Linked DNA regions of Ovis aries. The protein of the gene in region 2 purifies or fractionates together with the protein of the main gene of each other region. This does not show direct contact. Links are inferred from orthologs where the notes say so. Each region holds a gene or a part of one and is shown on either strand. Other genes may lie near its edges.

Region 1 (7,141 bases), on a different chromosome or scaffold from region 2:
CAGGCTCAGCTCACGATACCACAATCTATTATGCGAATGTTTTCAGGTACTGTTTACAGGGGGCCAGCGTCTTCATCCGATCACGTCACAGAGCTCTGCATCTGTATGTACACATTTGACATTAATTCTTCTTAAACCTGGAGCTGGAACTGCACATTGTAAGGAGCGCACACAGACGTGCGCGTGGTTTAACTCTGCAGAGCTCCTGCTCTATACATATGCATTAGCATGCGTATTTTCGTCCTCCACACGCACGACATACACTCTCACGCTGCACCTGCTTTTATTGAAATGCATACACTTTGAAATAAACACTACACACACGCATACCAATGTATCATTATTAAAATAAATGCGGCTGCGGGTGTGCGCGTGCGTGAGCGTGGTGTTTCAGCATGACCACCAAAAAGACACGCATGCTTGCATGCTCTAAAGCGAATTCCCCAAAAGTGGATCCTTAAATACGCATTAAAAAATTACTCTCATTGAAATCAGACAGCTACAAACACGGCCAACCTCCATTTCGAAAAAGGAGTCCCAATTAGCAATATAAAGGTTTAAAACCAAACTCCTCTGTCACTGGGGGCTCCAGACAATTTTTCAGTAATGACTGTTTCTCAACTGGCTATTATTAATAAAGAGATGGATATCAAGCTGCACCCAGACGTCACTCCCCTCTCTCCCTCAAAAACATTAAGTCACTGTTTTCGATGCTAACCACAGAAATAACTACCTTTTTGGAGAGACTGACAGGGCATGAAAAAGGGAGAACTCTGCCTTTTTCCCAGCATCAAACCCTACTGGTATCTATGGAATCTGTCCACGTGAAAACCCAAGAAGAACAAATGGTCACTCTCCAGGGTGATGCCTGCCTGGGACATGAGAGCCCCAAAGATGAAGAAATGCCCCGATGGGAGTGACCTAACCCTTCTCTCCTTTAGCTGGACACTCTTTACCATATAAAACATACTTTCCTCAGTCCTTTAAGAAATAACAATGTGCTCAACTTCCAAAATTCACTCACAGTAAATCTGCGAGTCGTCTGTGTCCATGTCAATGCTATCTTTGTGGGCATTCAATTCAGTTCAACAAGCATCTTATTGAACTTTTATGCAGAGACCTGCCTGCCTTTTTGCCCAGGACTGAGAACTGTGGGTAGTCAGCTGCTGTTTACAAAAGTACTGATATCAGCTGCCAGAAACAGGAGCATCGAGAAGGCTGACTTGATTCTTTCGTCTGTTCACTTTATTTCTCTAAAATAACGACCCTGCAACTGAATAAGGGTGTCAGATTAAATGTACCAGCTAATAATGAATATACTTTTAAGTTAAAGATATAAAACTAGGCAAGCGCGTACAATTTTGCCACCTGAGAAAAAACTTTTGAACCATCCCCTTAAACACAGACAAGTGATGTACAAAAAAAAGTTAAAGAACCCCAAAACAAACACTCAGTTAAAGGTTCTGTAAGGCCTCCTAACTTTCAATCCAGCGAAGGCAAGCCAAAAATAAGTCACAGCTGGGATTCTCCTAGGTATGGAAACTCTGCCAGCAAGGAATTAATACTAGATATTTTTGTACCAGGATTTTATTCTTATAATCATGTAATAAAATAACCTAAATATGAAAGGAAAGTATGAGTCAGGCTTAAAAAGAAAAAACTGACAAGAGAAGTTAACAGTGGCAAAACAGGAAAGTTAAAAGACATCATGTCCTCACCGATAATCAGTTACATGCTCTTCTGGGTTATTTTTTTGGGGGGTGGGGTGGGGCTGTCTGTGGGTGCCTGGGCCAGAAATAAACACCATATATATTGTACTAAGTGACAAAAAAAAAAAAAAGGAAAAAAAAATCCTGTCAAGCACTCTTTGTTTAGGGCTTTTCAACAGCGTTTATCTTAGGCCTTCCCCTGGATCACCCTTCTCCAGGTCCTAAGTGTCCTCCCTGCCGATAGGATCTTCACAGGAATTTGCCCAGGAGGACAAAGGCGTGAACTCTAGGGGTGCACGCAAAACTCAGTGAGAAGCCTCAAACAAGGCTTCCTAGGGCAAGCCTACCCACTCCAGCGCCTGTTTTATAAACAGTTTTACTGAAACACCACACCCACATCCATGCACTTACTTCTATGGGTACTGTGCCCTCAAAACCTAAAATGTGTACTGTGTGTCACGTTACAGACAAGGTCTGGCTGATCCCTGGTCTAGGAAAGGAAGCTAGTCGGCTAGAGGCCTGGAGTCCTACCAGTGGCCTTGGCCACGTCCTGAAACCTCTCCCCCTCGGCTACGAACACTCTCTGTTTCCGTTAGGTAAAAGCATAGGTAACGGCAGCTTGAAATATTTTTGACATTTGCTCTTTCAAGGCCCCTGATTCAGGATCCATCTGTACACAGCCTTCTCTTGGTAGCAGAGGTTTCTGCGGAGGAGAGAAGCGCTTAAACGTAGGCACCCCCAGGAACAGATCATATGGAGAGCAGGAGACGATGTTAACACTGTACACAGCACAAGAATAAAGGTTAGCACAGCCAGGGTGGAAGGGGAAGAGCGAGACAGAGAAGAACCATGTTCAAATGAACAGGACTGACCTGAGTTCTGTTAAAAGCCACACGTGCAAATACTGCCTGGGAGATTCCTGCCCGTTTCAGTTCATCACGTACCCACTGGTAGATTTCGGAAGACACCTCTGTGTTGGTGGAAACCTGCTGCTCCAAAGGTTTGTTCATAGACCTGCTGACGGGGGGAGGGTGGTTCAAGTACTGTTGGTTTAAGGACTGCTGGGCTAGAAGTCTGTTCACGGCGTACTGCTGGTTCAGCAGCTGGGCCATCACCAGCTGCTGGTTGACCAGCTGAGGGCTGATGGGCGTCGACACCAGCCCAGGGTGCAGGTTGGGCAGCGGCGTCCGCACAGAGGGCTGGCTGCCGTGGGACAGCTGGGCCGGCGAGGGGGGCTGCTCCGCCGTGCTCCCCGGGGCGGGCTGCTGGCCGAAGCTGACGTGGTTGGCACCCTGCTGGGACAGCTCCGACAGACTGTCCATTTCCACTGCAGCGGGCGAGAGGGAAAACCACGTTAGCCAACGATGCTCCGCACCGCTGAGGAGCTCCGAGCTTTCCCTAAGGACGGAGAGGCACGGGGCACTGAGGGTCCAGGAAACCAGGACATCTCAGGACAGAACCCAGCCGGCTGTGAGGCTACCTTTCTGTTCTGCACCCGGCCACCGACTCTGAAAGGGGGAAAACACTTTCTAATGCTGTGATGTGGTTTAGATTTAAGGCCCCAAATCAGTTATTTTCACATTCTATGTGACTAGTTTTGGGGTCAAATTATTATTCACTATTACTTCTGATCCCACGAAGGCTTATAAAACTAACATTTATTTTGAAAACAGCTTCTAGGGAAATTCCTGCGAATCTAGTAGTTAGGAATTGGTCCTGTCACTGCCGAGAGCCTGGGTTCAATCCCTGGTCGGGGAACTAAGATCCCACAAGCCAGGTGGTACAGATGCCCACCAAAAAAAAATTCTAGAAAAACCCTAGTTGCTTAGTGGTGACTGGAAAGAGTGAAGCTACGAAAACATATGCAGTTGTAGAAAAAAAGAAATATCCACAGAGCGACCCCATGGACTGTAGCCCGCCTGGCTCCTCTGCCTATGGCATTTTCCAAGCAAGAATACTGGAGTGATTTGCCATTTCCTCCCCCAGGGGACCTTTCTGACCCAGGGATCAAGCCTCAGCCTCTTGTGTCTCCTGCATGGCAGGTGGATTCTTCACCACTACCTGGGAAGCCCTATACATATGTGTATTTACAATGAAAAAATACTTGGAGATACATAGATTAGACTCCCTGGTGGCTCAGCTGGTAAAGAATCCACCTGCAATGTGGATTCTACCCCTGGGTTCTACCCCAGGGCTGGGAAAATGCCTTGGAGGAGGGAAAGGTTACCCACCCCAGTATCCTGGCCTGGAGAATCCCATGGACTGTACAGTCCATGGGGTTGCAAAGAATCAGACACGACTGACTGACTTTCACTTCACTTCACACATACAAAACCTGTTACCACTCCAAGAAAAAGGTTTGCAAGAAAAATGGTCTAAATATTAGCTTATGTTCCATTTTAAACCAGTTGTGAGTTTAAAAAGGTAATTGATATAATCAATAAAAGGTCATAATGATAAGTAATGATAACTGAGTTCAGACTGACCCCTGGGCTGACTATTTTACACGTCCTGTTTCACTGAGCTATAGCTCTCAAGTTAGGTGGCACGGAGAGCCGCAACCACTACTTAGAATGAAGCAACCGATTTATCATACTGCAAGCCAGTACACCCAGAGTTGCTAAAATCCAAATGCTTCCTGAAGAAGCTATGGCCATCACCAGATGCTAATGACAATCTTTCAAGGGAGAGGCGGGGAGTCATCCCGGTACAAGGTGATGTCACCCTTTTGCAATTTATTACCACCCGCCCGGGATGAATGTTTCTCCCCTAGCTAGACACCTCATGTGGGCTGGCTGAGCGTGAGCAGCAAGCGAGTCAAACGCTTTGTGGCTACAAGGAAGAGACAGCTTTGATGCTCTCGAACTGGGAGCTGACGATGGTAGGTAAGCGAGTCCTAAATAGCACACCATGGGGATCCCCTGGGGCCCAGTGGCTAAGACTCCATACTTTCTCAGCTGCGGGTCAAGGTTCGATCCCCAAGCCATGCGGTGCAGCCAATAAATAAATAGTATACCATGCCTCCCATGTGTGGACTCTGGGTTGATTTTCATCATCATTTCTCTTTTTACTAAATATTCTGGCTTTATATTTAGAGGAACTTATCATATTGCTATAATCACTGATGTATGCAAAATATAACTAAGAACGGGGAAAGAAACTTCCATCTCTGCTATCAGCCCAAGTGGGCCATTCATAGGGAACAGTAATTCAAGCAATTATTCCCAAAAATGATGTATTGTCTTCATTACAGCTCTAAGCTATAAAAGGCAAAGAATCTGTTTTGGTAGATGGATGATTTTGCTTCAAATATTAAAAGCTAAAACAGGCTCAAAATTCAGGTTCTCCTGCCTCTTAAAATCTTAAGGAGACGTTATTATTGCTGTTTTATTAAATCAATGCAATGGAAGTAAACAGAGATAGACTGAAAACATGACGTAACGCTATGCATATTAAACATCCCATTCCTCCATTATTTTAAAACATTTATTTGGAGGGGACAAGTATGTGAAAGAAAACGTTAATAGAAATTAAAGCATTAACCTTAATCACAGGGTTTGCTTCTACAAACACTAGCAGACTCAACAGGGGGAAAAAACGTCACAATCTGAACCCTCAGGTACAACACACAACTCTTATCTGTCGCTTCACACTGCAGATGATTGTAATGTGTTCCCTGAGTAACAAATATTGACCTAAAGTTACACGTTACGATAGGAGGCCCGGCGTGCAGCGTGGAGGAACGATGCAACGGTCCTTGGGTGATGGGCGGTCCAGAAGGCAGCAGACCCACCCAAGCCCCCACCCCGGGGGCTGGAGACAACCGCTCCAGTCACTGCCCGATCTCCGCTGCGGAGACTCTAGATACAGTTTGACGTCTTTAAACGTTGGGTGTAAAATCAGGCACTTTCCCTTCTTCTCCAACAAAACCAAGAAAAACAAACAAACAAACAAAAAACCCCATAAAAGCATGACTTATCTCTGGGAACCCACAGCCACTGCTCACTACTCCAGGCCTGGTTAGGCCTTCACTGAGACGTTAAAAAAAATGACAGCTCACCCCCCCTCGCCTCCATCTCCTGCGTGTCTGACAACCAAGTCGGTTGGGCTGATTTAAACACAAACATTTATTGAATTTAATTATCTCATTATACTCAGACCCACTCCCACCCTCCAAGAAACAGTCTAAATCGCCCTCTAATTGGGCAATCACAAGGCCTGGCTGCACACGTGACTGGGAGAAACCCCCGCACGACACGCGGCGGCGCGGGACCGCAGCGGCGGCGGCGCTCTGCTTACCCATCATATCTTTTGTCTTCTTGAAATGTTTGTACCACCTTCCAAATTCTTGACATTTCGCTGCTGAGACGTTTGCATAGTAAGTGCTGTTCACGATGGAGGAGATCATGCTCTGCACGGAGAGGGGGAGAGCAGTTGTAACACACAGCGGCACGAGGCAGAACACGGTCGCGATTTCAATTGCGCAAACGCGTTCCTGTTGTTTTTAATCCACGGAGGACCGACACGTTTTTGCTTCACACTTTAGCCTAAAGCTGCGACTTCCTCAAAGTCGTTAAGCAGATCATCAAACGCTTATTTCAGTAGAAAGCTGCAGCCCACTGAGACTGCTATAAAGCGATCACACCCACAGACTTGGCTCCAGCATGTATGGGAAACGCCATCTATTCCTGGGCTGACAACTGTCCACCCGTCCCAATAAATCCAAACACTTTGAGATGACTTTCTGATCGCAGTTCATAAATAAATGCCACTTTGTGGTCTGGTGCCTAAATCTCCATCCTTGCAAGTCCCAGGATGGCCCAGGGACCAGCATCATCTGGAAACTTACTAGCAGTGCGGAAGGTTGGGCCCTAAGCTAGGCCAGGGCAATCAGCATCTACAGCTTAATCAGATCCCCAGGAGGGTTGCAGGCACATTAAAGTTTGGGAAACGCCCCTTACACTGTTTACTCAGTATTTGGGTTTCAATCGCAGGTAAATTAACACTGTTCCACGGCTGACTGACCACATTTAAGAAGAAACCAACTATTCACAAAGATCTTCTATCAGAAGAAAAAAAAGCATGCTGCCATCTTATTGCTAGCTTCATATAAAGTTTGGGTTTTGAATTTCAAACTAAGTGTAACAGTTTTAAATCTATGCATTTCACGGTGGATTGTTTCTTGAGGACACCACAAACAAAGAAAACAGCCTATTCCGTCACTTCTCTTCATCCTGCATCTAACGAAAAGCTTGGAAAACAGAATCACACCAGTTTAACACAGAAAAATGAAGAAAGACGATGATTTTGACGTATGCCTGGGTTATGTTTTTTTCTTTTTTCTTTTTTAACTCATTTTCAATATGGAAAAGTACTTTCTTCCCTGCCAGTCTTGGTCCTGGTCATTTCAGGGACTTGGTCTGCAACACTCA
Region 2 (7,704 bases):
CCCTGCCTGCTGCAACTAGAGAAAAGCCTGCACGGCAACCAGCCCAGCCACTAAAAGAATAATTAATATATTGGGCAACTTTAAAAACTCCCATAATGGAGATGAGATATCAAAATGCCACCACCCTGACAAATCACATCTCCAGGCATTCCTGGAGGAGTACACCTTCCTGAACAGGCTGTGAGGTGGGGAGCGGAGGGTGGAATTTGTCCCCTGTATGTACCCCCAAACCCGAGTGGCACCTCCTCTCCCTTCCAAAGCCAAGCGGGTCTGTGGTCTCAGCAAGCCCAGGCAGCCTGGCTGCCAAGCCTCTGATGTCTGAGCCTCTGAACCATCCCTCATCTTGGCAGACAAGGGGCAATCAAATCAAGTGCTCCTTGTGGAAACTACTTACGGAACTCATTAGATGCCTCTCTGCCAAACCAGGCACACCCAGGCTGGTCCACCCACTGCTCTGCCCAGAAGGTCTTTTCCCACCCTAGTTTCTGCACGTCTCCAAGCCCTAGCAGTCTGTGAAAGCCCAACTCAAATGACACTTCCTCCACGAAGGCCACCATGACTTCCCCTCCACCCACATCCCACAAATTCCTCAGGAGTGGATCCCACCCCTCTTTTAATATTTAATAGATCTTAGTTTTCGTCTCTCCTTTCAAGAGGCTCTGCACAGCATATTTTTAAATCAGATTTTCTATTTTTATTGGAGTATAGCTGTTTTCCCGGAGAAGGCAATGGCAACCCACTCCAGTACTCTTGCCTGGAAAATCCCATGGATGGAGGAGCCTGGTAGGCTGCAGTCCATGGGGTCGCTAAGAGTCGGGCACGACTGAGCGACTTCACTTTCACTTTTCACTTTCATGCATTGGAGAAGGAAATGGCAACCCACTCCAGTGTTCTTGCCTGGAGAATCCCAGGGACAGCGGAGCCTGGTGGGCTGCCGTCTATGGGGTCGCACAGAGTCGGACACGACTGAAGTGACTTAGCAGCAGCAGCAGCATGGCTTGTGGGGCCTTAGCTTGCCAATCAGGGATTGAATCGGAGCTACAGCAGTGAAAACACCAAGTCTTAACCCCTGGACTACCAGGGAATTCCCCCTAAATTAGCCATGTTTAATCCAGGTTTTTGAGAGGTGGGAATTCTCTTTATTTTCAATGTCCTCTAACAGTAATCTAGCATTACTTTCCATTACAAATGGAGAAAAAACACACCACAGTGATATTAGCCATAGCTGTGACTTGTCACCAATAAAAATGACAGATTTTTCATAGCATATTACAGAAATGACAGAGAACTTGAAATATGCTTACATCCATCACTGTCTCAAAAACGCAGTAATTCTTAGGCCTCCATCAGATCTTGTTATTTGTTCTTGTGTTAAAGAAACACAGATATAACTTTATCACAAATTTGTTTTCTTTATATTTTGTACCTGTATTTCAATGTAATTGATTGCCATGGAACCCTGTGCATTTTATTTTGTGCATTTAAAAGCATTACTCTGGGGACTTCCCTAGTGGTCCAGTGGTTAAGACTCCATACTTTCTCTGCAGGGGGCACGGGTTCGATCCCTGGTCAGGAACTACAATCCCACAGGCAGCATGGTGTGGCCAACACATAGAAAAATAAATATATAAAAATAAAAAAATTACTCTGGAAAGACCGGGCCCTGGAGGAATAAGAAAGGCTATTCCCCACCTCTATGTGGATCAACCCTCTCCATCTGTGTATTCCTTCCACTTTGGCCTCTCATCAGCAGGAGGTCTGCAGGCCTGAGTGTAGGAAGCATTGCCTCAACTATTTTATTTTTTTTAATGAATTTTAAAAATTTAATCCTATTAATGTATTTTTGGCTGTGCTGAGTCTTCATTGCTGCTCGGGCTTCTTCCTAGTTGCAGTGAGCGGGGACCACTCCCTAGTTGCGGTGCACAGGCTCCAGGGGGCTCAGGCTTCAGGAGCTGTGGCTCGGTCATCGCGGCTCCTGGGCTCTGGAGCACAGGCTCCATAGTTGTGGCACAGGAGCTTAGTTGCTCCGTGGTGTGTGGGATCTTCCAGGATCAGGGATCGAACCGTGTCTCCTATACTGGCAGCGGATTCTTTACCACTGAGCCACAAGGGGAACCTGTTTTCTGAACTTTTAAAATAGTTACAAGTTTACAGAAAAATTGCAAAGATCACTCAGAATCCCCCTATACTTCCCTCCCAATTTGTCCTTTTGCTCATATCATGACTATGGTACATTTGTCACAATGAAAGAGCCAATATTGATACATTTTTATGAACTATATTCCATAACTTATTTGAATTTCCTGTTTCCCCCTAACATCCTTTTTCTCTCAGGAACACGTCCAGAATACACAGGACATTTAGTTATCATGTCTCCATGGACTTCTCTCGGCTGTGACAATTTTTCAGACGGAAAGTAAACTTTCAGGGAAACTGCTTGACAACCTTGAGAGTTTCAGGGGTTTCTCTTAAGGCGCTATGTAGACTGCGTCTCCATTGGGATTTGTCTAAAGTTTTAATAATAATTAGAGTGGGACTGTGGGAAGGAAGACCACATCATATCAATGGTATTTACTGCCGAACATGACATCACTGTTGTTGTTGACCTTGATCACCTGGCTGGGCTGGTTTTCATCACTGTACCCTGTCAAGTTACTCTTCTGCTCCCTTTGGAAGGAAGTCACTTGGCACCCTCCACACGTGCAGAGTGGGAAGCCACTCTCCATCTTGGAGAATGTGCCAAAGCTGCTTAGAATTCCTCTGAGTGGGAAATTTGTCTATTCTCCATTTATTTATTTATCCAGAGATTTATTTATAACAGCATGAACTCATGGAAGTTTGTTTTATACTTAGGGTTAAAACCCAGTGCTCCTTTAGTTATTCTGTTGCCATCCTGTTCTTTTTTAACATTATGGAGGTATAGTTTACATATACTAAAATGCACCATTTCAAGTGTTAATTACACTAGTCTCAGCGAACACCTCCATTTGGGGAACCCACAGCCCGAGCCCCTGGCACATCACGTGAGTGTCCATGGGCTGGAACTGAATTCGTGGGACAGTAGACTTGGAGGACATCAACTTCCCATTTTAAGTTTAGAGAAGCCCAAGTTCCCCACCGAAGGTAGAGTCACTAAGAGGCAAAAACATGCCCTCTGCCCTCTCTCTCACTGCCCTTTCCTCCAGGAGCCCCTAGGGGGTCAGACTGGGGCCCAGAGGCCACCCCCACGCTGTCCGGGACGGGGCCGAGTACTGGCCGGCCTTTTGCGCTCGGGGGCGGTCCGAGCCGGGGGCGGGCGGGGACCGGACCCTTGGCCTCTGTCCCAGGGGGCGGCGCCGCGTCGCGAATGGTCCGGGTCCCTCCCAGGCGCGAGCGGCGCAGGCGGTGCGCCGTGGCCGCGGAGTCATGGACGGGAGTGGGCCCTTCAGCTGCCCCATCTGCCTGGAGCTGCTCCGGGAGCCGGTGACACTGCCCTGCGGCCACAACTTCTGCCTCTTCTGCCTGGGCGCGCTCTGGCCGCACCGCGGAGCGGGCGGCGCCGGCGGCCCCGGAGGCACGGAGCGCTGCCCGCTGTGCCAGGAACCCTTCCCCGACGGCCTCCAGCTCCGCAAGAACCACACGCTGTCCGAGCTGCTGCAGCTCCGCCAGGGCTCGGGCCCGGGGCCCGGCCCCGGCCCGGCCCCTACCCCGCCGGCCCCGGCCCCGGCCCCGGCCCCCGAGCCGGCAACACCCAGTGCGCCGCCCAGCGCCCCGGAGCCGTCGGCTCCCAGCGCGCCCGAGTCATGGCCGCCCGGTGAGGAGCCGGTGCGCTGCGATGCGTGCCCTGAAGGCGCCGCCCTGCCCGCCGCGCTCTCCTGCCTCTCCTGCCTCGCGTCCTTCTGCCCCGCGCACCTGGGCCCGCACGAGCGCAGCCCCGCGCTGCGCGGACACCGCCTGGTGCCGCCGCTGCGCCGGCTGGAGGAGAGCCTGTGCCCGCGCCACCTGCGGCCGCTCGAGCGCTACTGCCGGGCCGAGCGCGTGTGCCTGTGCGAGGCCTGCGCCGCCCAGGAGCACCGGGGCCACGAGCTCGTGCCACTGGAGCAGGAGCGCGCGCTCCAGGAGGTAGGGCGCGGGCGCGGCGGGTGGGGGCGGGTGATGCGCCTCGCGCGCCGGCCGAGGACCCCTCATTGCTTTGCCATCCTTAATTCCCCTCTCTAACCTGAGGATCTCTGCGGTGCCTTCCAGCCCTGACCGTCATCCGCTCGCTGTGGGACATTCCTCTCGGGATGAGAATGGGGGTTGGAGAGACCCAGTGAGAACTCGAAAAGGATGCAAAAATCGGGCTGGAAGACTGAGGCTGGGGCGGAGCCCATGGGGTGGGGGGTGGTTAAAGGAGCCTGGTGGGGTCCGCAGGGTCCCCGGGGGGCGGCCGGTGCCTTGGCCGGGCTCCTGCCGGTCCCGCTCAGATCTGCCTGGGCTGAGGGACTGGATGGGTGTGGCAGACGACAGGAGTGCGGCGGAGGGTGGGCTGAGCACACAGAGCGCCCTGTCTGGCTGTCCGGGGGCTGGTGGTGGGCGCGTGTACTGGCTGTCCGGCCGTTACCTCCGCCCCGTTTCCTTTGGCCCCAGGCCTGGTCTTGGCGCCTCTGGCCTTGGGATTTTCCGTCTCTCCTGCCTGAAGTGGTGACTCATAAGACCCAGGGGATTTGCCCGGAATCCCCATTTTTCAGGCTTGGACTGGGGACACAGACTCTTGGGGGACAATGATTCCCAGACCTTGCGCAGGGCCCCTCCTCACTTTCTGCTTCTTTCCCGCGGAGGGAAGTTCTCAAATCACAATGAGCAACATGGTGGACCCGAGGGCCCTGGACTTGCTCACCAGTCAAAGAGGGGGAGGCAGGCAGCCCACGGCCCACCAGCCTGCCCTCTCCTAGACATTCCGAAAGGGAACCAGCCTGGGCTTGAGGCCCCTCTGGTATATCATCACCACTCCCAGTACACCTGGACCCAGATACCACTCCTGGTCACCCCCACCTCCCCCTCGGTAAGGCCCAGGACCCTACTTCTAGACCCCTTTCACCTTGAGGGTGTCATCCACAGGCCGAGCAGCCCAAAGTCCTGAGCGCTGTGGAGGACCGCATGGACGAGCTGGGTGCGGGCATCGCTCAGTCCCGGCGCACGGTGGCCCTCATCAAGGTCAGATCCCGTGCAACTCAGCCCCCGTCCACCCCTGCCCCAGGCTCCTGGCGCTGTGAGCTTTCAGCATGGCACCGTCCACTCCAGAGAAGCCCGTGCCCAGGGCGTGGCCCAGCTCCACTGAGCCTGTCTCCCCCCTGACCTGGCACAGACCCAGGGCAGTTTCGGCTGGTGCCTCTGTCCACCCCCCGCCCTCAACAAGACATGGTGGGAAGACGGGGGTCTGAGAAGGTGGCCAAAACGTCTTCGGGGCGTTCTTTGTCCTCACTGCCCGCCCCCCACTGTCCTATGCAGAGTGCAGCCGTGGCAGAGCGGGAGAGGGTGAGCCGGCTGTTTGCCGAGGCTGCAGCCGTCCTGCAGGGGTTTCAGACGGACGTGCTGGGCTTCATCGATGAGGGGGAGGCCACCATGCTGGGCCGCTCCCAAGGCGACCTGCGGCGGCAGGAGGAGCAGCGGAGCCGACTCAGCAGGGCCCGCCACAACCTCAGTCAGGTCCCCGAAGCCGACTCGGTCAGCTTCCTGCAGGTGAGGGCGGCTCTGCGGGTGCAGCGGGCACCGAAGCCGCAGGAGGAGGCCGCGGGGGGCTGCCTTCGTGGCTGTGCTGGCCTCCTGGCAGGCTGTCTGTCTCATGCCCGGAGGAGCTGCGGCGGCCAGCTCAGCCTTAATGGGCATCTGTCTGGCACAGGAACTCCTGGCACTCAGGCTGGCCCTGGAGGAGGGGTGCGGCCCCGGGCCCGGACCCCCGAGGGAGCTCAGCTTCACCAAGTCCTCCCAGGCTGTGCGCGCGGTGCAGGTCGTCCTGGCCTCGGCCTGTTCCAGCCAGTGGGAGCAGCTGCGGGGGCTGGGCGGTGACGAAGACGGGCTGCAGAAGCCAGGCACGGAAGGTGGGCGCCCCCTGCAAGTGACTCACCCTTCCCCAGGCTCCCCGCACAGGGCCCCAGGCCCGGGGCCCGCTCAGGAGTGGAGGATGGAAACTGTGCCTAGAACAGGGTGGGACCCCAAATCCTGCCAGGGACTCAAGCCACCACCCTGTAATCACGAGTCAGCCCCTTTGGCCGCAGCCCGGGGGGCAGAGAGGGCCTGTCCTGGCACACCCTCTGGCTTCAGAGAGGATGAAGCCCAGGGAGGACATGGGATGTAGAACAAGGACCAGCATGCATATGAACACAGGGTACCGTATTTGGGCATGTGCCTGTCCCCAGGTGGCCTGGGGTGCTGAGAGGATGGAGGAGGAGGATTTCAATCACAGGTTCAGAGATGGGTTGCCTTGCACAGCCCAGCCACAGGCAGCTAAGGAGGCCCTCACCGACTGTCTCCTCTTCGGCAGCAGACGCTGAGTCCCAGGACCCCGACAGCACCAACAACCTGGAGAGTGAGGCTCCTAGGGATTACTTCCTCAAGTGTAAGTTGACACCTGGGCTTGCCAGGATGCTTACCTGGGCTCTCCCAAGGCTGCTGGGCTGGGCCCTAAGTGCCCATGGGCTGGGATTCCTGTCCCCGGTTCAGAGGGTGAACTAGGTCAGCTCACGGGGGGCTCCCCGTGATGGCTGAATCATGCTCATTACAAAGGACGGGAGAGGTGTTTGGGGGAGGTGGGCCCCTCGGGGAAAGGCTGCCCTGCCTGACCTTGGACCTGAGTCCTGCATTTCTCTCCGGTGTGTGGGGGCAGTTGCCTACATAGTGGACTTGGACAGTGACACGGCCGACAAGTTCCTGCAGCTGTTTGGAACCAAGGGCGTGAAGAGGGTGCTGTGTCCTATTAACTATCCCGAGTCGCCCACCCGCTTCACCCACTGCGAGCAGGTGCTGGGCGAGGGCGCCCTGGACCGGGGCACCTATTACTGGGAGGTGGAGATCATTGAAGGCTGGGTCAGTGTGGGGGTCATGGCCGAAGACTTCTCCCCACAAGAGCCCTACGACCGGGGCCGGCTGGGCCGCAACGCCTATTCGTGCTGCCTGCAGTGGAACGGACGCAGTTTCTCCGTCTGGTTCCACGGGCAGGAGGCACCCCTGCCGCACCCCTTTTCACCCACCGTGGGGATCTGCCTGGAATATGCTGACCGAGCCCTGGCCTTCTACACCGTGCGGGACGGCAAGATGAGCCTCCTACGGAGGCTGAGGGCCTCCCGGGCGCGCCGGAGTGGCACGCCGGCCTCCCCGGTTGACCCCTTCCAGAGCCGCCTGGACAGCCACTTTGCGGGGCTCTTCACACGCAGACTCAAGCCTGCCTTCTTCCTGGAGAGTGTAGACGCCCATCTGCAGATCGGGCCCCTCAAGAAGTCCTGCATATCCGCGCTCAAGAGGAGGTGATGCAGGGGCCCGGGGCCGCCTCCCGCTGCTGACCCAGCTCCTGGGAAACTTGCTTCTCTGCACCCCTGGTTTGAACCAGAGAAGGCAACAGCCTCGGACCCCCACACATTCCCCAGCCTTCTCATTCCTAGAGGCCTCCACCTTCTGTACCCAAGGCCTTCCACCTCTCAGGGAGGAGGCCCCCCCAGACCCTGTCCCCCTGCAGGCCTTGTTTCTGGG
Region 3 (7,781 bases), on a different chromosome or scaffold from region 2:
CAAGCCAGGCTGTCTTAGGTGACTATCTTGGATGGATTCACAATAGTAATTTGGGTTTACAAAAAATGTAGACCTTAAGAAAAAATCTTGATTGTGGAGGAAAAGATGGGAGTACTGCTGACCAGGGTAAGCTTCCAATTCATCACTGCCTGTCCTCATCCCCAAGCCTCTCAGTTACTAGTCTAATGGCACACAGGTAAATCCAGGACTTGAAAACTAACCTTTCAGAAAACCTCCTTCCTCTTTGGTAACTGAAATACAAACAGATTTCTGAAGCAGAGTAGAACAGTTTTACAATATACCTGTAAAAATTACTGAAGTACAGTTATGGCAATATATTCTCACTGATGTTTTGCCAAAACTGACTATGAACATCCCAAATGTGTGTAGGAGGCCCAAGCAAAGCCTTGTAGTTGAAAAGAGAAGAAAATTTAACCTTCTTTTTTCAATGTCACTTTCCCCTCTTCTAGTAGTTTAATTGTTTGCCCTTAGCATAATATTTAGGGACTATTTAGTACAATATTTAGGGAATATAAAATGTAGTATAATGTTAATGATAAGGAAGAGGCTATTATATCAAGCACATTTAACATCAAGCACATCTAAACATTTATTTGGATAATATTAAGATATCTTTCTTCCAAATCTTAAACTGTTCATCTTACAACCTATGAGTTTCCTCATGAATACCTGCAATACCTGAATGTTCCTGCAAACTGTATTCAGAAATAAATAGTGGGAAGGTACAGCTTAATTGGCAGTCTATGGTACACTACAGACACCTTAAAAATTTCTTTATGCTCATACTTCCTATTTTTCTACCTCTTCCATTATAATTGACTCAGATTCTTCTATAAGTGTAGAACAGAGAGAAGAAAGATGTGGTAGCCTAAAGGAAGGAAGCAGAATGACAGGCAAGACCTTCAAGCTCTTTATAGTCCACTGGTGACCCAGGTTCTGTCTTATGAATAAGAAAATTTGTTTTCTAAGGGTGCTCCAAATACGGGCAGTCACATGGGCTTTTCCATTTTAGAATGGTAATGAGTCCACTAGCATGCTAATCATGCTGCTAGCCTGTAGATGTTAGCATGGATGTTAGCAATCCACGTCTGAAGCATTATGGATTCCAATTAGGTAGAATTTCAAAGATATTTGATCTAATTTCCTTCTTTTTTCTTTTAGTAAATGTGGGGAGAATTAATTAGGAAATATGTCCTCAGATAATACTGGGACCAAATATATAAGTGAACTTTATTTTTACTTTGTATACCTGGAAAGGATCCTATCTTCATCTTACTCTAAGAAATCCTAACCACAAAGATACTGGGTAGAATAACACTGAAGTTCCTTGAAGAAGTGGCCTGCCAGTGATCATTAGGTGATATTGTTTGATACTGTTATTAGGTCCCAGACCTGAAAGTGAAAGGAACAGAATCTTCCCAAAAATGTTGGGAAAACTCCAGATGGCTTTTACAGCTTTAAAAGCAGCTATGTGAAAGTCACTCAGTCATGTCTGACTCTCTGCAACCCCATGGACTTATACAGCCCATGGAATTCTCCAGGGCAGGATACTGGAGTGGGTAGCCTTTCCCTTCTCCAGGGGACCTTCCCAACCCAGTGATGGAACCCAGGTCTCCCATATTGCAGGCGGATTCTTTACCAGCTGAGCCACAACAGCAACCCACTCCAGTACTCTTGCCTAGAAGATCCCATGGACGGAGGAGATTGGTGCAGGCTACTGTCCATGGGGTCGCAAAGAGTTGGGCACGACTGAGCGATTTCACTTCACTTTATGTGAAAGTCGCTCAGTCGTGTCTGAGTCTTTGCGACTGTTAAGTCCATGGAATTCTTCAGGCCAGAATACTGGAGTGGGTATCCATTCCTTTCTCCAGGGGATCTTCCCAACTCAGGGATCGAACCAAGCTGAGCCACCAGGGAAGCCCAAGCTAAATGGCAGGGACAGAATAAATGGGTTGCTTTTGATCTAAGAGTTGGAGCAACAAAGCGGTTTTAGGGGATACAAACTAAGCACTTGTATTTTAAGAGATACAAAGTAGGATACAAGCTCCTGGGATAAAATAGAGAGGCCCCATCACAAATTTACCTTCTTATCCGCCAGAACACTATTTGGATAATATTTTCAGTTGTTCTTTTTAAAGTACCTGCCTCTAATAATGAAGTGTTTGGTTTTTCTTTGTATTTACCAGAGCATCTTTTTAAATCTCAGATCTCAAATCTATCTTTTTTTAAATCTCAAATCTTAAAAATTTTTAAAATCTCAGATCTTTAAACTTCTGTTCCTGCAAATGTGGTGTAGGTCAAATCTCTGAACAGGTTAAGTCTCTGACGAGAGAAAGGAAGGACGCCCCAGCCAATAGGAGACCCTGCTGGTGATGTACTGCGCCTCAGTTCTGATTCATTGGCCGCCTAGGGTTTGTCATTCTATCCCCCGCGTCTGCAAACAGCGTGGGTCCTCCGAGGTCTAGCTAGCTAAGCTGGATTTTGGTCACCTGAACGCTCAGTTTCAACTAGGTTTAGCAGATCTCCAACTCTTAATATTGGAGAAGGCAATGGCACCCCACTCCTGTACTCTTGCCTGGAAAATCCCATGGATGGAGGAGCCTGGTAGGCTGCAGTCCATGGGGTCGCCAAGAATCAGACACGACTGAGCGACTTCACTTTCACTTTTCACTTTCATGCATTGGAGGAGGAAATGGCAACCCACTCCAGTGTTCTTGCCTAGAGAATCCCAGGGACTGGGGAGCCTGGTGGGCTGCCGTCTATGGGGTAGCACAGAGTCGGACACGACTGAAGCGACTTAGCAAGCAGCAGCAGCAGCAACTCTTAATATAAGCAGCTGTTACGTTTTTATTGTCTTCTGGAATTTGAAAAATCTTTCTTTTCTTTAACCTCACTGGAGGTCGTTGGAAGTCCTCAGTGACAGAATCACGTGACTGTCTAACAAGTGCCAATAAACACAATGTGGAACCTCACGAGCTACAGGCTGGAAACCGGCCAGAATCTCAGAGCATGTGCCTCCTGTGTGTATCAGTTGCACTCGCATGTGGGTGGGTGGCAGTACGGTGTATGGGTAGTTGCCCTTCGAGATGCGAGGTGTGTAGCTGGGGTACCTGCGTGTGTCTCCAAGGGTCCCTGGGGCTAGGGTGGCTCTGGAGGTGTGGAGCCTTGGAGGAGGGGGTCTGGCGGCGGCCTGACACCGAGTTAACTTTTGAGCCGCAGCAGCCAGGCCTCGACCAGGCCGCGACCGTGCCCGAGAGAAGTCGAAAGCACGGGGTTGTCCTTCAGCTTCTGTGGACTGCGCCTAAGCAGGGAGCGGTTTGTGTATTTGCAGACAGATGGCAGCGCCGCGCCGGGAGGCCGGGATGCCACGGGGGAGCGTCTGAGTTCCCGTCGGCAGACTGCCAGGCTTGGAGGGCATCTCGATTCTTGGGGCTCCTAACAATCACACACTCCGTCCAACCCAACGCCGGGAGATGAAGGCCCCGGTTCCAGTTCCGATCCGGGATTCGCGATGCTCCCTCAAGCCTCGGTCTGAGGCCGGGGTAGCAAGCCGACTGCGGCGAAAGATACCGGGTAGGGCAGTGACGTCATCTGCGCCCGCCCCCTCCCCCCTCTCCCCTTCCCCCCTCCCCCCGTCCCCCGCTTGCCGGCCGGCGCTGCGGTTCCTGCCCAACGACATCCGGGTCTCTCCAGCTGCTCCACCTCGCCGCAGCTGTAGCGAGGGCTGAGCCGACGGGGAGGGGTGGGGCGGGGCGGGGCAGTCGGAGGCGTGGGGGAGGGGCAGCACGGCGCCGTCGAGAGCGCGCCTGCGCGGGGACGCGCTCGAGGCGGCGGCGGCGGCGGCGGTGGTGGCGGCTCTAGGGGCGGGAGCGCGCGCGGGAGGGAGGGAGCTGTGGTCTCGGCGCCCGCCCGCCTTGCAGCTTCGGGTGCTCCGGCGGCTGCAGCTCGGGAACCGGTGGTTGGGGAGGGGGGGGGGGGGGCGCCAGGCAGGTGGGGCGCGAAAGCTATGACTCTTCGGCTCTTCCTCCTCCCGGACCCGCTCTCCGCCTCCCGCTCCAACGCCCGGATGATCTGAGCCGCGAGGGCGCCGAGAGCCGGGGGCCCGGACGCAGCCCGGCTCCTCCCCTCCTCCGCCCCCTCCCCGGCCTGACCTGGCCGGCCGCCGCCGCGGTGACCCCCCTCCCGCCCCCTCCCCGGCCGCCGTCGCCGCCGCCGCCGCCGCCTCGGCGGACCAGGGACTTGCCCGTCCGCGGCTGCTCCGGGTAAGCGCGACGCTCGGGCCGACGGCGGGCGGGAGGGCGGGCGGCGTGGGCCTGCGCGGCGGTGGCCAGGCCTGGGGCCTGGGGCCTGTAAACAAGCCGGGCGTCTGCCCGGGCGCTCCCGGGAGGAGACGCGACAACTCCACCCCCTGGCCCGGCCTCCTCCCCGGAGCCCGGCGGCGGGCGGCGAGGGGTTAACGCTCCTCGAGGGCGGCGGCGGGGAGGCGGGGGCGGGGTGTTGGTGGCGGCTGCCGGGGGAGGGTCGCGACCCTCCGGCCGCCCAGGCCCGGCTCGATGTTAGTAGCGGGCGACGCGGACGAGGCCCGCGGCCCGGCCTGTCCCGAGAGCAGCCGGCGGAACTTTTCCCGAGCGGGGAGGGGGCGTCCGGCGCCCCCACCCTCCTGGGCTCCAACCCTTGGAGCGAGGCCGAGAGATAGAAGCGGGGGGAGGCTTCCTTCGGACCGGACTTGGCCTCGAAACACTAAATTTGGGGGAATTTGCTTCAGGTTTTTATGGAGACCGTGCTGAGAGTGAGGTTCCTTCAGAACTCAAGTCAGTGATGCCTCCAGTTCATTCATTATTTAGGCATCGAACAAATCCATTGAAGTAAATCGAACTGATTCCTCTTTTTAACCTATAAAAGTTCCTGATGCTAGAGTTTATTGAGGTGTGGTTCTGCTTTGCTTGTACATGTTAAGTATTTTCTTGAAGGACAGCTGGCTGTGGAGAGCCTCTGCCAACCGCAGTTTTAGATATGTTTTGAAAATCTCATCACCTGAGTTCCCCGCCGCCCCCTCCCAGAGTACCAAGTACCGCGATTCTTAAAAATCCACAAAGGTCATACTTCAGCTGTGCAAGCCAAGAAGTCTATTCGCCCCCCGCCCCCAACTCCCAACTCTAAATTTTCTACTGATTGGAGTAATAAGCCGAATGCATCTTAAGAAGTGACTGGAAGGGTATGGGAGATGTAAAAACCTATGGGAGGTGGTTTTTGTTTTCCCGGAGTAGATGATTTTGACATTACTAAAGGAAATTAGAAATTTTAAAAAGTTGTTCCTAGGAAAAGGTTTAATCTTTTCAAACTTGGACGTTGGGGTTTTAAACACAACCACTTTTTAGGTGCAAAGAACTCTGAACAGAGTCAGAGATTTTTAGCAGTGCTCTTCTGAGCCTTAGCAGTTCCAGAACTCTCAGTTCAGCAGGGATTGCTCCCTACCTGCTCTTTAACAAGAACAATTTCACTTTAATGTTTTTATCTATTTACATATTGGGCCTTTTCCAAAGTCAGTGGTTCTGTAACTCTTTAGAGAGTAGGAAACTGAGTAGGGCAATCGTGACCCACCCCGCTCCCTGTTTTGTAAGTGTATTTTGTTTCTTTTGATTTTCTTGATTGATTTTGTTTCTTTTGACAATTTGAAGCACAAAGTAACATTTCTTGTTTGATGTTTAGGTCTGTTCTTATGTGTAACTCACATGTATCTGTTTAAACTTTCAATCATAAAGTGATTACTTTTAACCTGCAAGGTACAGCTATACTACATTTTGGAAACTAATGAACTGCACATAGAAGTTAAGACATTTTTGATTAGATATCACTAGATATTTTTCACATCAGTGAAGTAATTATTTTATGGAAGAGGTATATTAAGACTGGTAAACTTTGGCTAGGTACCTCAGTATATATTTGAGAAATAAGATGGTCGAATGCTTGAGTCATCAGAATTTCTTTTTATGTGATGTGTGTGTGTGTTAACATATAAAGGTGGTTTATATTTTAGTTTGAAGAACAAAATTGATGCCTATAAGTACAGTATAAACTGTTGAAAGCAACACTGCACTAGGAGTCAAGAATTGTTTGGTCGTGGTTGTGTTCCAAACATCAGCAAAGCCAAAGGGGTAGATTATCAAATGTTTCTTATTCTCAACATTGTGTGTTTAATAGGCTTTGACTCAATAGCTGTTATGTGCCAGGCACTTAGATGTTTCAGCATTCTGGCCCTGATTTTCTTTCAGGGTTGTGTCTTTCTTGAAAGAATTTTAAGTCAGTGGTTTATTTAGGAAAGATATTCCTATGGGTAGCCTTTACTGATTTTTCTGTTGGGAGTGAGAAGTCTAGAAAAGCTCTTGGGAGGAAGGCAGATGGAGATTCCGCAAGAGACAAAGGGTGATTGAGCCTACAGGTTTGAACAAGCACAGGACCCTTGGTAATTTGATGTGAAGGGCATTTTAAGAACACATTGTGCAGGTTTTCCTGTCAGTTCAAGCTGGGTCTTGCTTATCTTGACTCGTTAATAAACCTTCATTTGAAAATTTGTTCTCTAATATGCAGTTTTTTCAAAGAAATTTATAGTACACTGTATTGTCACATGGTAAATATTGCTAAGCAGTTAGTAAAAAAAACCTACAGTCTTTGAATTTCTTCACATAACACTTAGACTTTATTAGAATGGCTGATAGCATGTGTAGCTGATTCTGGTTTAACTGCAAATGCTTATTTGTTTGAAAATTTAAAACTAAAGACTGACATATGTCCATAGGGAGCTTGTTATCCCTGAAATGCTCATGCCTGAGTGCTAGATTAATCTCTTAAGATGTGAGTTGATGATCATGTAGTTACAATTAAATAACTAATTGTAAGGTGATATTTTGATGATCCCCTGAATGACACTTGGGCACCTGACTCTGAGTGGTACTCTTGATTACTTTCCATCCTTACCCACGCAGAGGAAGGAGGCATCCCTTTAAGAAAATCTGTGCAAGTGAAGTCCTGTAAGAGTCAAATAGAAGATAAAACAAGGTGTGGCCCTGTGAAATAAATGGACCTTAGGGTAAGGAAAAGGTATTGTGAAGCAACTAGGTAAAAGTTTGTGCCTTCCTGTACCTTGGTTAGTAACTTTATTCCAGAATATGTTCTGTCTTCCATCTCATATGTTGGTGACAAACTTTTAAAGATTGAGTTGCTTCATTTTCTATTTCATTGTTAGCGAGGAAATTTTCTGACTTGGGATTATTAACTAGTGTTATATGAAAGTAATTTGGGTTAAACTGTATCAGAAGGAGAAGGGGACGATAGAGGATGAGATGGTTGGATGGCATCAGTGACTCAATGGACATGAGTTTGAGCAAGCTCCAGGAGTTGGTGACAGACAGGGTAGCCTGGTGTGCTGCAGTCCATGGGGTTGCAAACAGTTGGACATGACTTAGCAGCTGAACTGAACTGAATATCAAAATCAAAAGTTTGATTACCTATATTCTTTCTTTTGTTCTTTCCAGTGCCTAATTTGTTCTTATGCACAATAAGAACAATAATTTTATATTTTAGTATGAATCTCTAGAATATATTTCTTGCTGATTTTGACTTTTGGATGTCCTAGCTATCTGTGTATCTTTACCTAACTTTTCTTTTGCTGAGGTAGGTAGAAGGAGCTAGAGAAAGTAATTAAGAGAGGTGAGCTTCTGTATACCTTTATCTAAAATGTGATAAGAGTTTTTAGAATTTTT
Region 4 (7,860 bases), on a different chromosome or scaffold from region 2:
GCCTGTAGGTTGAAGTCCCAATCTGGCTTCCACCTGGGTTTGAGTCCTGGCACATGGGTTCAAGTCCCAATCAATGTTGCATGGTTTCAATTAGGTCAAAACTTACAGAGACTTTTACTTGAAGGGTCTCATTTCACATGCCAATGGTTCTAAAAAAGAACCTCCTGTTAGGTCTGCCCAATGCCCCTTTAACAGCACACTCCTGTTGGAACATTCTTCCCTTCAAGGTGGTCAAGACTGAGCAGAAATGGCTTCAAGAACTATTAAAAATTCTACTTTTTCTTCTTCCACTTCTTAGACAACCCAGGGCTGCTCTGGGGAGACCGGGATTATACCCCGAGGAGCCAACTCGGGAGCCCCTAGTCCCTGTCAGTGCTCCTCTGCTTCACAGAGGCTGATCGGGGCATTCCCTTTTACCTACTGTCTTCCTTCTTGCTGGAAGCACATTGATTGGGCCTGCACCTTGGTCCCTCAGCGTATTCACCTGCATTCATCCGTCAGTGCCATGGGTTACTCAGTGTGCCCTAGGGGGCAACAGCCAGGAGAGTGGTTTGTCTCTTTAGCTGCTTGTCCTCCTTTTGTTCCTCAGCCAATATCTGGGTTATTGAACACTCCCAACAGAAATACCCACCACGTGACAGTCTGGGGGCATTTGGACCCACTGCTACTTTCTGCAACTTCCCTTAGATGTTGGGGGCCACTCTGAGGTGTAAAGTATAACCACTGGGTCGCTCTCAGGGGCATCTCTAACAGCTGTATACTGTCAGAGGCATTCTCTACCTTCTCTAAGAATGTTGATGGGTTTTCATTGCCTCCTGTTGAGTGTTTCTGACTTTTCCCATTTATAGGTCTCCAGGGAGCAGCCTTCGTCCCTTTAAGTAGGAGACTTTGATGATGCTCAAGTCGGGCCCTGCCCAGTCTCTATGGAATCCCATGTAGGTCAGTGGTGGGCACCACTCCTGTAGCTGGTCTCCAGATCTGGTGACTGGGCTGAGTTTGGTGTTGCTGCAGCCCCATAAGGCACTGTACTAATGGGATCTTGTTCCACTTTTCTAATCTTTTGCAATAAAGATCCAACTGCAGGACGGTGTTGCAATTTAGAGACCTATCTTCTGGCCACTTTTCTTGATTTTCTATTGAGGACTGGGGCCAGGCAACATTCCTGAGAAACGCCATCTGGTATTTTGCATGGGTTTATACCCAAAAGATTTCCAATTTACAATACATTCCGATGAACAACAATTGGGAACAGAAAAGTTGTTTTCCATTCTGATGTACCACAGTCAGCCACTCTCAAAGGCAGCCATTCTCAAGGGCTGACTAATGTGAGTTATAGATACCAGAGTTTGCTTGTCCTGAGCCTGAAAGTAGATTTTCCTATGGTTGCTAAGGAACTCAATTTAAATTAATTTATTAACAGATAAGACAATCAGACATTGAAGACGAGACAAACAAGGCAAAACATAAACTAGAACCCTATGACTCTAAACCAGAGTGAACCCAGACCTGCAGCCAAAGCCTCAGAACTCGAACCCCAGTTTAGTAGTCAGCTTCTGCCACCTGAAAGGGTGAGTTCAAGAACCTTATCCACCCATGTGTTCCCTGCATGCAAAAGTCTCTTGTTTCTTATTGAAAAGGGACTCAAATTGCCCCCCACCCCCATCACAGAAAAAGGTGGCTTCTAAACCAGAGGTCTGCAGTCTCCCACCGGAAGGAATGCAACCTCTCACAGTAGTAGGAAGGGAGTTCTCATTCACAGAGACCTCTGGTTCCTTAGTGGCAGGAATGCAACCTCCCAGTGATAGAAATCAGGACCTGGTCTGGAACCCAGGGTGAAATCAGAAACCCAAGCCCAACTGAGTGCTTCTCAAATTCTGGTCTAAAAGGTGAGGCTATCCTGACAACCCCAGCCATTGTAGCACCAGTTCTGAATTCTACTCACCCTCTGAAGTCTACTGGCATTGAACAGAGTTGTGCAGGTGGCCACTTGGCTCACAGAGACTGAGCCAGCGAACAGTCTGAACCAGTAGACACCCAAGAGAATGATGTCTGCCCAAGAGGACCTGGACAATCTGACCAAAATCAGAAGCAAATTAGTTCACTTCACTCCAGTGTGGCCAGCTCCCCTTGTCCCTGACCAGGGCACATGTCCTACCAGAATTGCCAGAAATTGTACAGAACTCAGAGGGCCCATCTTTTGGGGTGCTTGTAAGGAGACAAGGGCTAGCTCTCAAAGCAAGATCTCACTAATAGCACATGCTCAGTAAATGTTCCATGAATAAGTGCATGAACTGCCTTAGGACAGAAGCAATGCGCCTACAAAACCCTCCAGATGTGGCCTCGGAGCCTCTGATCTCAGTATGGTATCCAGGACACCCTTTCCTGGGTCTGTGAACATTTTCTCTGCCAAGTGCAGTTACTGGAAAGGAAGGTCTCTACCCAGGACCAGCAGGACTTTCTGAGGCCTTCCCCCATATGAGCTCCTCTTTGAAGTACCTAGATAATATAGATAACAGTATTTGATACAAGTTTCCTGAGTTATTTTGTAGACATGAATCCGCCTCCCTCCACCCCTCCACCAAATGAAGAAACTGCTTGATGACGATGAGCGCATAGCCCCTGCCACTGCCCCCTGCGGCTCCCCGCCCCCCTCAAATCTGCCCTTAAAAATGCTTTGCCAAAATGCTTTGAGGAGCTGGAAGCTTTTCAGGGTACGAGCCACCTTGTTTCCTTGCATGGCCTTGCAATAAACCTTTCTCTGCTCCAAACTCAGACTGTTTCACTTTGTTTGGCCTTACTGTGGGTTTGGCACAGGAGCTCGCATTAACAGGTCCCTTTAATAGCTCTCAGACTACAGGAATCTTGAGAACAGATCTGAATTAAGGATCCAAAACCAAGCCATCGGACAGTAAGGAACAGAGGAATCCAGTCTCTTGAAGGTGGTCAGAAGAATCAGACGACAGGACAAGCAGGGGTGGATAGAGGGCAGGGAGCAGAAGACTGTGGCGGTGGGAAGCACAGCGGTTAGAGCCTGAACCCGGAGCAGCTGGGCTGCAGCGCGGGCTTCTCACTCACTAGCCTCGCTGCACTGAGCACCGCGCTTAACCTTCCCAGCTTCCGTTTTCTATCTTAGCGTGGTAGGGCGGGAATCAGGATTGCACCTCCGTGGCCAGGTCGTCGTGCGGACTGAAAAGGACCACGGCCCAGAGTAGCGCTCTACCACGCTGGAGGCAGCTGGGCAGAGGCGTGGCGCGGCGACAGTGAGGAAGCGGAGGTGGGGGTGGGGGCGGGGCACGAGGCGGGGGTACCCCCTGCGGCTGGGGGAACTGAGACTGGACGAGGATCCCGGACGTCATACAGGGCCGGAGAGGGCGGGGCCGCAGTCGGAGGGGCGGGGTCCGGGGCGCGGAGGTGTTCCAGGGGGCGGAGGCCGGTGACCCGCGCCTATAGGCTACCGGCCCCCGGACTGGAACCTGGCCCGCTCCGGAGCCGCTGCGCTGACTCTGTGCTGCGGCCGCGTCCCACCGCTTTCCACCGCCCGCACCTGTCGCCCAGCGAGCCGCAACCGGGCCCCAGCATGACGGACCAGGCACCCTTCGACACCAATATCGTCACCGTGACCCGCTTCGTCATGGAAGAGGGCAGGAAGGCCCGTGGCACGGGCGAGATGACCCAGCTGCTCAACTCGCTTTGCACCGCGGTCAAAGCCATCTCCACTGCCGTGCGCAAGGCGGGCATCGCGCACCTGTGAGTCAGGCTTCTGTACCCCCCAGCCCCCACCCTGGCAGAGTCCTCTTTCTCTCTGGCTGGGGATCTACCAGGCAGTACGATGTCTGGTCTTCTGCCCCTGCTGTCTGTCTGTCTCTCTGATAGCTGAGATCCCCACACACTGTCTCTGGTAGCTCCTCTGCAGAAGCTCAAACCACACTCAAGCTCTAGTTCCCCCCTCCCTCAAGCTTGTGGGTGCCCACCTCGGGGGACTGTCTCACAGTCCATACCTGCCTCCACCCTGCAACCGGCGCCCCTGGGCTGAGCAGCCTTGGCACCTCTCTCGGCCTCCTCCTGGTGAAACTGACTAGCCCCATGGGCACCTGGCCTGCCCACCACACCCACCCTAGCCTCGAATGGGAAAGTGCTGGTCCCCGTGCCTCCCTTTCCGGTTTTCTATCCTTTTGCTTTCATTCCCTTAGAAATTGGGGTCCCAAGTCAGGTTTCTAATTGAGTATCTCCTTGACCCTGAACAAGTCTTGTTAAGAAGCAATGGGTAAGCCAGGCTGGGAGGAGGCTGAGAGGAAGCCTGCAGTATTTAGCGCCTTCAGGGCTTCAGTGCTGGTGTGCACGGGGCTGCAGAAAGTCTGGGGTGGGGCTTGAGATGCTGGATTTCTAAGTTCTGTGGTAGTAGGGCTGCTGGTCTGCAGATCACATTGTGCATAGAAAAAGAATGACAGGACACAGAGATTCAACAGGTACCTTCTAGTGAGGCTTTTACGTTACTAAGACAAATACCCTTTGGTTTATTCTGGTGTGCACAAGTATTTTATGTTTAGACTGGTCCTCACTTTAGCTGAAGGATACTTAGGTTTTCAGATTGCTCATACTCCTTCCTAGTATTTCTCATACTTAGGAGCACTTCATAAGCATTGTACACAGTGCTCATAGCTGCTGAAAAAGCCCAGCCCCGAAACCTGGATTCCTTATCTCGTCAGTTCTTCACCTTTGGTTTTACGGTATGGCTTGGTAGAGCTAACTTAAAAAAAATTTTTTTATCTTATATTGGAGTATAGTTTATTAACAATGTTCTGCTAGTTTCAGTTGTACAATAAGGTGATTCGGTTATACATATATATGTATCTTTTTAAAAAATTTTTTCCCATTTCGGTTATTACAGAGTATTGGCAGAGTCCCCTGTCCTATACAGTAGGTCCTTATTGGTTATCTATTTTAAATACAACAGTGTGTACATGTCAATCCCAAACTCCCAATCTATCCAAGCTGACTCTTAAGGCAAGAGTTTATCATCATTTATTTGCAGATGTCAAGCAAAGTTGGGCCCTGATGGGAGAGGGATTGGGAAGTATGTTAGGAAGGTGGTGACTCCATTACTATTTCACCTATGGACCTTCTCAATACATGTCTAAGGAGACTTTACTTTAGGAAACATTCAATTAAATTCTTACTTTAAATGTAACATACAATAAGTAAAAGTGTCCTCTCAGCTTTACTTGACTTTGAAAACCAGGGGGCTTATTTAAAAAGTGAAGGGAAGTGAAAGTAACTCAGTCATGTCCGATCCTTTGCGACCCCATGCACTGTAGCCCACCAGGCTCCTCTATCAATAGGATTTCCTACTGTTTTAAAAAAGAGTGCTTGTCATTTTTGTATTGTTTAAAAATGTGTCAGCACCTTTCACAACCCCAAAGAGACTCAGAAACGCAAGATCTGCTTTGAGGTGCATCTTTCCCACCTTAGGGCTTCCCCGGTGGCTCAGCTGATATAGCGTTCGCTTGCAATGAGGGAGACCCAGGTTTGATCCCTGGGTCAGGAAGATCCTCTGGAGAAGGAAATGGCAGCCCACTCCAGTACTCCTGCCTGAAAAATCCCATGGATGGAGGAGCCTGGCAGGCTACAGTCCATGGGGTTGCAAAGAGTCGTACATGACTAAATGACTTCATTTCTTTTTTTCCCACCTTATAAGTAACCTCAGATAGTGGGACCATAGGTAGTGGGATATTAGTTGAACCTGGACAAAGGGTGCCAATTTTGGCTGTATGAATTGTGTATATTTTTAAAACTAGACACCTGTAAGCACTAGGTTAAAAAATAGTTTTTGCTATAATTATAAATTCCTTTATATGTTGTGCGTGTGTGTGTGTGTGTGTGAGTCATTCAGTTGTGTCCAACTCTTTGCAACTCCATGGACTCTACTGTCCGTGGAATTCTCGAGGCAAGAATACTGGAGTGGGTTGCTGTGCCTTCCTCCAGGGGATCTTCCTGACCCAGTTATTGAACTTGGGTCTCTTGCATTGCAGGCAGATCCTTTCCATCTGAGTCACCAGGGAAACCCTTTATATGTTACTCAACAAAAATTCAAACCACTCAGAAGAACACAAGGGGAAAAGTGAGACCCACCATTACCCATTTCCTGGGGTATCCACTATTCATAATTTACTGGGTTTCTTTTTTTTACTAGATACTTCTCTATATTCATATAAATTTATACATGGATAAGCACTTCCATGTGACTGTTTGTAAACAGCAAACAAAATGGGATCACACTTGACATCCTTTCTGCAGTTTGCTTTCACTATTCAACTCTATATGATGAGCATCCTCCAGTGTCAGGGCATGTAAACTCACCTCCTCCTTTTTAACTGCTGCATACTGTTCACTAGGGTTTCCCAGGTGGCACTAGTGGTAAAGAACTTACCTGTCAGTGCAGGAGACATTGGAGAACCAGGTTCTATCCCTGGGTCAGGAAGATCCCCTGGAGGAGGGCATGGCAACTCACTTCAGTATTTTTGCCTGAAGGATCCCATGGACAGAGGAGCCCTGCAGACTGTAGCTCATAAGTCTGAAAAGAGTTGGACACAACTGAAGTGACTTAGCACACACAGTGTTCCACTGTACATGAGCTATTTGACATTTCCCGTATATTTGGGCGTGTCACTGGTCTTTCACTATTTCAAAGAGCATTGTACCCATGAAATGGGCATTTCACATGGTCCTGTGGATGGCTGACGGAGAAAGGGTAGAACCTGAACATTCAGTACTCCTGTGGGAAAGTAAGTTTGACTGTCTCTGTATCATATGTAGTTGGGGAGGGGGCCATAAGACAAGATCTTAACTTGGGCTCCAAATTATGCTTATTATCGGCTTTGATATTCTGGATGAAAAGGCTAGCGTACCTGCAAATAACTTGTTAGTGCTGCCGACTTGCCCTAGTAGGGCATCTAGCCAGAGGGACAAGATGATTGCAGACTTTCAAGAACCTTGTGGGACCAGTTTATGGATGTCAGCCCTGACTCCTCATCAGGCAGATCAGGAGTTTAAACACAGCCTGGAGCTCTCTCTCTTAAATTTTAGAAGTTACTGAGAGATAAGAAAGATATAGAGCTTATGCTTTAGGGAAAATATTACATGTATAAAGTTAGAATACAATAGAGAATTTTTTCTAAAGAAATTTGGCCACATAAGCTGAGTTTTTGAGGCTGGAGAAAGGTAGGAAGATGATTCCAGGCTTAGCTGCAGTACTCGAGATCTTGGTTCCTACCTGCAGGGGGTCTTCCTTTCAGAATGAGGGATCTAGGTCCCTGACTAGGATCAAACCTGGGCCCTTTGCATTGGGAGCATGGAGTCTTAACCCCTGAACCACCAGGAAAGTCCCAGCAATAGAGATTCTGAAAGATACTTTTGTACAGTTGGCAAAAATATGTGGATGTGAGAGATGGTGGCCCAGCATGATGGGCATTTGTAGTGGGCAGGCAAAGCTGGTCATAAGGCCTGTTGGCTGGGCTGCCGTCTGAGGAAAGGTACAAGCTAGGAAGATCTTTCTGGAAAAGGTGCTTATTTGGTTTGACTGAAACCTGGAACCCTTCAAGTAACGTAGTGATGGAGCATTTGTGGATGTTAAATTGTGAGTGCATTGGGGGAACATTATGTGGCAAGGGTGAATACTTTGTCTTTGAGGGGGTGACCAAAGGAGAGAGGTACAGGTTTTTGAGTGGGGCAGTGCCACTATTGGAGATTCATCTGGGGTAGCTATGACTGGAAGCACAGAGTTAGAAGAGGGAAAGTGAAGACGCGGAAATCCAGCAGGATTCAGAACTATGGAATTAGAGGAGATGGGGGGACCTGGCAGAA

What was found.
Region 1: the proteins of TRIM47 (region 2) and SATB1 purify together in Homo sapiens (affinity purification with mass spectrometry; 4 studies listed by BioGRID and IntAct, with this or other methods). This does not show direct contact. The link is inferred for Ovis aries from reciprocal best matches to the Homo sapiens genes TRIM47 and SATB1.
Region 3: the proteins of TRIM47 (region 2) and PPM1A purify together in Homo sapiens (affinity purification with western blotting; 3 studies listed by BioGRID, with this or other methods). This does not show direct contact. The link is inferred for Ovis aries from reciprocal best matches to the Homo sapiens genes TRIM47 and PPM1A.
Region 4: the proteins of TRIM47 (region 2) and FBP1 purify together in Homo sapiens (affinity purification with western blotting; 3 studies listed by BioGRID). This does not show direct contact. The link is inferred for Ovis aries from reciprocal best matches to the Homo sapiens genes TRIM47 and FBP1.

The regions. Positions count from the first base shown.
Region 1 is NC_056054.1:276,511,070-276,518,210, forward strand, and holds part of SATB1 (DNA-binding protein SATB1), read right to left. Parts: intron 6,121-7,141; coding exon 6,009-6,120; intron 3,037-6,008; coding exon 2,582-3,036; intron 1-2,581. UniProt on the Homo sapiens protein: Crucial silencing factor contributing to the initiation of X inactivation mediated by Xist RNA that occurs during embryogenesis and in lymphoma.
Region 2 is NC_056064.1:55,081,350-55,089,053, forward strand, and holds the start of TRIM47 (E3 ubiquitin-protein ligase TRIM47), read left to right. Parts: upstream 1-3,374; 5' UTR 3,375-3,405; coding exon 3,406-4,101; intron 4,102-5,079; coding exon 5,080-5,175; intron 5,176-5,469; coding exon 5,470-5,700; intron 5,701-5,860; coding exon 5,861-6,059; intron 6,060-6,502; coding exon 6,503-6,577; intron 6,578-6,844; coding exon 6,845-7,485; 3' UTR 7,486-7,704. UniProt on the Homo sapiens protein: E3 ubiquitin-protein ligase that mediates the ubiquitination and proteasomal degradation of CYLD.
Region 3 is NC_056060.1:70,531,067-70,538,847, forward strand, and holds the start of PPM1A (protein phosphatase 1A), read left to right. Parts: upstream 1-3,050; 5' UTR 3,051-3,107; coding exon of another isoform or gene 3,108-3,114; 5' UTR 3,115-3,494; coding exon 3,495-3,594; intron 3,595-3,905; exon of another isoform or gene 3,906-4,283; intron 4,284-4,579; exon of another isoform or gene 4,580-7,781. UniProt on the Homo sapiens protein: Enzyme with a broad specificity. Negatively regulates TGF-beta signaling through dephosphorylating SMAD2 and SMAD3, resulting in their dissociation from SMAD4, nuclear export of the SMADs and termination of the TGF-beta-mediated signaling.
Region 4 is NC_056055.1:31,786,586-31,794,445, forward strand, and holds the start of FBP1 (fructose-1,6-bisphosphatase 1), read left to right. Parts: upstream 1-3,475; 5' UTR 3,476-3,577; coding exon 3,578-3,747; intron 3,748-7,860. UniProt on the Homo sapiens protein: Catalyzes the hydrolysis of fructose 1,6-bisphosphate to fructose 6-phosphate in the presence of divalent cations, acting as a rate-limiting enzyme in gluconeogenesis. Plays a role in regulating glucose sensing and insulin secretion of pancreatic beta-cells.